Linked DNA regions of Ovis aries. The protein of the gene in region 1 purifies or fractionates together with the protein of each later gene. This does not show direct contact. Links are inferred from orthologs where the notes say so. Each region holds a gene or a part of one and is shown on either strand. Other genes may lie near its edges.

What was found. Proteins that work in one complex are often made in the same cells at the same time.
Region 2: the proteins of EIF2AK2 (region 1) and ADAR purify together in Homo sapiens (affinity purification with mass spectrometry; 3 studies listed by BioGRID and IntAct, with this or other methods). This does not show direct contact. The link is inferred for Ovis aries from reciprocal best matches to the Homo sapiens genes EIF2AK2 and ADAR.

The regions. Positions count from the first base shown.
Region 1 is NC_056056.1:86,926,145-86,929,797, forward strand, and holds part of EIF2AK2 (interferon-induced, double-stranded RNA-activated protein kinase), read left to right. Parts: intron 1-804; coding exon 805-925; intron 926-1,270; coding exon 1,271-1,347; intron 1,348-1,512; coding exon 1,513-1,612; intron 1,613-3,479; coding exon 3,480-3,514; intron 3,515-3,653.
Region 2 is NC_056054.1:104,824,152-104,827,804, reverse strand, and holds part of ADAR (double-stranded RNA-specific adenosine deaminase), read left to right. Parts: intron 1-6; coding exon 7-129; intron 130-427; coding exon 428-561; intron 562-2,403; coding exon 2,404-2,586; intron 2,587-3,059; coding exon 3,060-3,172; intron 3,173-3,653. UniProt on the Homo sapiens protein: Catalyzes the hydrolytic deamination of adenosine to inosine in double-stranded RNA (dsRNA) referred to as A-to-I RNA editing.

The sequences.
Region 1 (3,653 bases):
CATTTCCTCCCAAACACTGTCACCTTATTATTCTCCTGTAGAAGCCTCTACGGGTTTTATCATGCCAGTTGAACATCTCTGAAAAATTCATTAGGTCTCTTTCTTCTTTCTCTGCCTCCATGTCTTTTGACTTTTGGGGAATTTTAAAAAATCACCACTTGGTACCTTAATGCCACATCTTTCAATGAAGCAGCAAAGAGTTAGAAGTTCCCTAGAGAATGGAAGCTGGGCTATTAGCCAATCCTGGTTATTCTGGTAAACTGATTAGCCATCTTATTGAAAAAAAAAAATATATATATATATATTAAATCTTGCCTTTTTAAATATAGTTTTTATTTATTTAGTTATTTTTGGCTGTGCTGGGTCTTCATTACTGCGTGGGCTTTCTCTAGTTGCAGCAAGCGGAGGCTACATTCTAGTTGTCATGCTCATTGCGGTGGCTTCTCCAGTTGCAGAGTACGGACTCCAGGATGCGTGGGCTTCAGTAGCTGCGGCTGCAGGACTCTAGAGAACAGACTCAGTAGTTGTGGCACATGGGCTTGGTAGCTCCACAGCATGTAGGATCTTCCCAGATTAGGGATTGAACCCGTGTTTCTCCTGCATTGGCAGGCAAATTCTTTACCACAATGCCAGCAGGGAAGCCCTTGTTGAAATTTTAAATTAAGTAAGATATGAACTATTAATCTATCTATTAAATTGGTGTTATATTTAGCCCTTTGTTAATATGGTTTTTTTTTCTGAAAACACATGAGTTACATTTACTGTTTTTCGGTATTTGGTTTAATACTCTATCATTTCCCCTAGGTTTTATTATATATGCAAAATTGGACAAGAAGAATATGGTAGTGGTGTGGGTTCCACTAAACAGGAGGCAAAACAGTTGGCTGCCAAACTGGCTTATGAAAAGATAGAATCAGAAACAATGGTATGTACTGCCTTGGGGTTTGATTTCTATATTTTAAAATTCTCTCTGAAGTTGATTTGAAGTTAAATGATATTTAGGTGATGCCAAGACAGCCAGTCACATAGCAAAAGCATTCCTTCATTCTGTGTCCCACCAATGAGCCCTGTGGCCGTGACGCTTCAGAAGGATCACAGTTCTCATGACAGCTCAATGTTTTTTAAATTCAGATCAAACATCCATAAAAATGTATTAATCCTGTATTTATGGCTGTGAATGTGGTCAGTGTGGGGAAATAAATGTGGGAGTTGGTTCACAGAGACTACGCCACTCTAAGAAGTCATTTAGTTGTACTTTTAAATCTTTCAGAGAGCTGACCAGTCCTCTAATTGTTTCAATACCGCATGTGGGGATGTTGAAAGAAGCTCTCCAGCAGTGAGTACATCGTAAGTATGGACAAACAGGTGTGACAGACAAATTCAGATTGCAGCCTGAAAGAGCAGATATTTGTGAAAATGTTTAATGTTGAAGGAGAATTTAGAAAAAGCAATTACTGATCAACAAAAAATAGGCAGAATTCATAAACTAATAGCTGTCCTCTTTTCTTTTAGTAGTTCTGAATCACCATCTGAAAATGGCTTCTCAACAACTGCATCAGAAAGAAGTGATAATAACGGTGTCACATTAAACAGCTCTTCCGTGTCTCCAGGGGTATAGTATTAGTCTCTAACTTTCCTAGTTAATCTTATTTTCCTTTGTGTTTCCCCATTTAAAAGTGACCTCCAGTACCTGTCATAATTTTTCAATTTTTTTTATGGTCTCTTATTAAATCAAAATATTTTGCAGCCTTTTCTCTCTCCTTTCTTTATTAACTCCCATTCCTCACATGCAAAATTTTTCTGCTCTTCACTCCCATCTTTCTCTCCCTACTCACCTTTGTATTTTTCATGTATTCCTATAATCTGGCTTCTTTTCTTCTATCAATTGGATGGTATATAGAAGGTTCACTCATAGATTTCTGCTCCTGTTTTAATAAATCAGAGCTAAACTTAAAAACTGAACTTAAAAATCAGATAGTTTTTGTGGTGATGTTTAGTGCTACCGAAGTATTATATTTATAAACAACTAGAAAGACATCCCTGGTGGTGCAGTGGCTAAGACTCCATGCTCTCAATGCAAGGGGCCCGGGTTCCATCCCTGGTCAGGGAACGAGATCCTGCATACTGCAATGAAGACCTGGCATAGTGAATTAAATAAATATTTTTTTAAACTACAAACAAATCAATAAGAAAAAGATAAGCAACTCAGTTAAAAAGAAAAAATGTACAAAAGAGCTGAACAGACAGTTTAGAAAAGAGATACCCAAGGGGGCAACAGACATATGAAAAGATGCTTCACTTCATAATAATCAGGAAAATGCAAATGAAAACAATAGCTAGATACCATTTTAAACCATCTGATTGGCAAAATTTGAGTCTGGCTCTTCTAAGTGTTGACACAGCTCTGTTCCTTTTGTACCTATCACGTGCTGTTACAGTAATAGTATATGTTGCTGGCTGATGTATAAATCGGCATTGACTGTCTTGGAGAGCAACTTGGCAGCATGTAGCGGAGTTCAGGGTGTGCCAGCTGTATTGCCAGTTCTACTCCTAGATATGTCTTCTAGAGAAACACATGTATGTGTGCACAGAGATACATGTATAAGCATGTTCTTTGCAAAATTGTTTGTAATAGAAGAGATTAGAGAAAATATTTTCCATTTACAGAATGTCTGAGTTAATCATAATGCAGTCACTTTGCAAAACTGAGGCTGGCGGGTGATAGGAACTCAAGAAATCTCAGTCTGATGTTTGCACTCTGTGTCAACATACTAAAATTGTTAAAAAAAAAAAAAAAACAACAAAAAAACACCACGACCCCTACCAGAATAAAAGTGAATATGCTTGAAGAAGAGCTATATTAATTTTTGAGAGATATGTCAAAGACTCCTCTTTTTTGGCTAAATGTTAAATTCTTGATTTGTCCTAAAAATGTTTTAAACTAGATCCTGGGGCCCCATCTGTTTTCTTCCCTAGCACTGTGAGTAATTACAATGCATAGTTTCTTGCTGAGATCTGCTGGCCAGAGGATCTTCTGGGAAGCCATATTCTATACCCGGAGAATCCGTGCTCCTGTAGAACATGCCCTGCAGTTCTGTGTGTGTTTGTTTTTTTTTTTTCCCCTGTTGTGCTGCACAGCATATGGGGTCTTAGTTTCCTGACCAGAGATCAAATCCGTGCCCCCTGTTTTGGAATAGAAGTGCAGAATCTTAACCACTGAATCTCAGGGCCCCAACAATTTGTGTTTTTTGCCCTTCTTATCATATCTGTCTTTGCTATAATTGATGAGAACATTGATGTAGACAAGTACACTGAAAGCAGGGCTTACTGAGAGCATATAAATTGATGAGGTTGTTAATCGTAAGGACAGAGAAATGTGGTCAGAGAACCATCTAGAAGTACAGGAGAAAGGATGGCCAAGAAAAGCAGGATACTTGACTTAATCATCTGAAACTATTTTCCATTTTCTTTTGTTATAGGACGGTTCCAGAAATAATTCCAGGAAGGTGAAGAGGTGAGTATCATCATGCATTGGACTTATTTAGAAATGAAGCTTTATTTTAGATCTAGATTATTCATCTTATTTAAGAAGTTCAGTATTTGTATTGTATGCCCTTATTTAAGTGGAGTTTCAGGAATTCAAAGCATGATTA
Region 2 (3,653 bases), on another chromosome or scaffold:
TTACAGGTTTCTCTACAGCGAGTTAATGAAATACAACCCCCAGACGGCGAAGGATAGTATATTTGAACCTGCTAAAGGAGGAGAAAAGCTTCAGATAAAAAAGAGCGTGTCATTCCATCTCTATATCAGGTCTGTACAGTCTCTGTTGTCACCAGAGCCGGCCCGCCGGCTTTCTGGGGCTGGGTGTCTGAATGGTCTCCACGTCCATAATTCAGAGCTTGTTCAGTGGGCAATGCTTGACTCTTGCTTGAGGTCCACACCCCAGTGTGGAATGACTCACACTTCTACCCACTCCAGTAGCCTGTGTAGGCTGCAGAAAAAAAAAAAAAAAGCCTCGTTTCTGCCACATGGAGCTGTTCTTAAGCCCCAGGCAGCTGAAGAGACCCATGCGCACAGGCGGGTGTTAACAGACGCCCCTGTCTTGCAGCACGGCCCCGTGTGGGGATGGTGCCCTCTTTGATAAGTCGTGCAGCGACCGAGCCGTGGAGAGCACAGACTCCCGCCACTACCCTGTCTTCGAGAATCCCAAACAAGGCAAGCTCCGCACCAAGGTAGAGAACGGTGAGTGGCACGTCCTCCATCACCCATCGAAAGGCTCTGCAAAGCCCCAGGCCCGTCGCAGGGCCAGGGCACAGCTGCAGGGTTTCTGCCATCATGGGTGGGATACCAGGGTCTTGTCTCCAGAGGGAGGGAAGATGTAGGTCGGGGAAGATCTATGGGAAGATTGGGACTCCGTTTTGCATTGGTCGGCTGGGTGGATCTGCAGTCACATAGGAGGCAGCAGTGCCCATCTAGAGCCCAGAGGAGAGAGATGGCTGCAAATAAAAGTCTGGGAATTATCCTCCTGCGGTTGATCCTTATGGCCATGGAAATGGATGGGATCACCTCAGGGAAGGTTGGAGAAAATGGAAAGAAAGCGAGGCAGAACAAGCCTGAGGCGTTGACAGGACTCCGCGCCCGCTTCCCCGCCTGCCTTGCTGGCTGCTAGTTCTGCACCTTGTCTGCCAGCTCCTCCTGCTCTACCGTCCTCCCGTGTCTCCTCACCGTCTCCTCACGTCCACTCTGTTCCCTTCAGGCCAGCCTTCTGCAGTCATCAGAGTGGCCCTCAAACAGAGGTCGTGTCGCTTCCCTCCTCAGAACCCTGAAGTCTAAACACAGAGCTCCCATATGATCCACCAGTTCACTCCTAGGAACATCCCCAAGAGAAATGAAAACATGTCCACACAAAAACTAACACAGACCGGCTACCCTCTCTCTCGGCGTTGCCACTCTTGGGGCTGAGGAGGCCGCAGGCTGCCGCGTCGTTGCTGCATTTGCTGCGCTGGCACTGCGCCTTACAGCCCTGAAGAGTCTGCTTTTTTCCTCTCCTTTTTTCCCCCTGCAGTCTCCCATTATGGAGACCCAGGGAGAAAACACTAATACAGAACATTCATAGCAGCAATGTTCATAACAGCCCAAAAGTAGAGACAACCCCAGTGACTGGTGAGTGGGCAAGCAAAATGAAGTATATCCATAAAACGGGGTATCGTTTGATACATGCCGCAGCACGAGGGAACCGAGGGAACAGTGTGGAGAAGGGAAAGCAGCCGGTCACGAAAGACTTTGTGTTACGTGGCTCCCACATTTTCATTTACTTGAAACGTCTAGAATAGGAAAATCCATAAAGAAGGAAAGTAAGTCGGGCCAGCTGGGCCAGCGGTGGAAAGGGCTGGAGGGAAATGGGGCGTGACTGCTAAGGGATAGGAGGCTTCCTTGGAGGGTGATGAAATGTTCTCACATTGGTTGTGGTGATGGCTGCACAAGTCTGTGAATACACTAAAAATTATTATATACTCTAAACGGGTGGACTGTATCTCATTGAAGTTCAGGAAGAACCAAAAGCCCACCACCCTGTCATGGCCTCCCGCTACACGGAAGCAAGCCCTGCCACTTCGGCCATCCTGGTTCTTCGTCAGGTCCCTCCACAGCTAAACCCTCTGCTGCCTCAGGGCCTTTGCTTTTGCTGAACTCTGTGTCTGAAACACTCTTTCTCAGCTGTTTCTTCTCTTCCTTCGTGTCTCAGCCCCCCGACAGTCCTGTCCCAGGAGATGCCCTGACCTGTCCATTATAGCTCCCTCAAACCATCTACAATCATTACGTGTGTATTGGCTGACTTGTTTAGTGTCCCCTTTCTGCTCCCTCACTCCCATAAACCCGCTAGGAGCGCAAGGATCTGATTTGGTTTTGCTCACTGTTGCTTCCCGGCACCAAGCCTAGTGCCCAGCACAAAGTAGCTGCTGTGAGATATTCAAAGAACGAATGAGTGCGAAGCCTCTGGCCCAAGTCTAAGGAGCAGAAAATGCCATGCCGGGGAGGGGCCTGGTCCAGCGGCCCTTGCAGGTCTAACCCAAGTCTCTCATCCAGGGGAAGGCACGATCCCAGTGGAGTCCAGTGACATTGTGCCCACGTGGGACGGCATTCGGCTGGGGGAGAGACTCCGCACCATGTCCTGCAGCGACAAAATCCTGCGCTGGAATGTGCTGGGCCTGCAGGGGGCACTGTTGACCCACTTCCTGCAGCCTGTGTATCTCAAATCCGTCACTCTGGGTAAGGACCTGTCTTGGAAGCTGAAACCGGACTGTCATCCCGGTTCCCAGATCCCAGCAAACTGCACACTTCATTGCCAGGTGTTAACATGATGTCTCCCCTTTTCAAAGTGTGCTCGATTCGGTGGTTTAGTGATTGATTCTGAGTGTCCCGTCTGCTGTGATGGGAAAATTGGTTTAGGCAGCAGTCTCAGTAACAATATGCCAGCCAAGTCTTTCAAGGTGAGTTAGAGAAACACAGCAGCTTAAAACTGCAGTGTCTTAGTGTCCTTGCCATCTCAGCACTTGGCCTTACCTGGAACCTTATATATTGTGCTTAACTGATGATCCCTTTGTATCCTGGGCAGCCGCAGTCAGCAGGTGCTCCCTGCCTAGGGAGCTGAGGCTCTGTCTGTGCCCTCACCCTCCCCACATGCCTCTGTTGCTTCATGGCACTGGGGATAATCAGATGTGTGCGTTTCTTTTTGTACCCAGGTTACCTGTTCAGCCAGGGGCACCTGACCCGTGCCATTTGCTGTCGTGTGACAAGAGATGGAAGTGCATTTGAGGATGGACTCCGACATCCCTTTATTGTCAACCACCCCAAGGTGCGATAACCCAATCCATTTTTCTCTTGGCGTTTTCTCCTTTTCAAGTAGTCCTGTCAGCAGAGCAGAAATGTACAGTGTGGGCAAGGGGAGCCTTAGTTGGTTTCCCTCAAACTTAGCCTTCCCTCCTTTGGGGGCTTCCCCGATGGCTAAGATAGGAAAGAACCTGCCTGTAAAGCAAGAGACCTGGGCTTGATCCCTGGGTTGGGAAGATCCCCTGGAGGAGGAAATGCAACCCACTCCAGTATTCTTGCCTGGAGAATCTCATGGACAGAGGAGCCTGGCAGGCTGCAGTCCATGGGGTCACAAAGAGTTGGATATGACTAAGCGATTAACACTTTCACTTTTTTCCTTCTTTTAGTTTGGAATTCATTTGAATTGAGGTGGGGTTAGTATATCTCAGTCTTAGCCAAACGGAATCATAAACAAGGGGGAAAGATCATGACCTCGTCTTCCCTCTTTCCTGTGAGTCTTGAGTCCC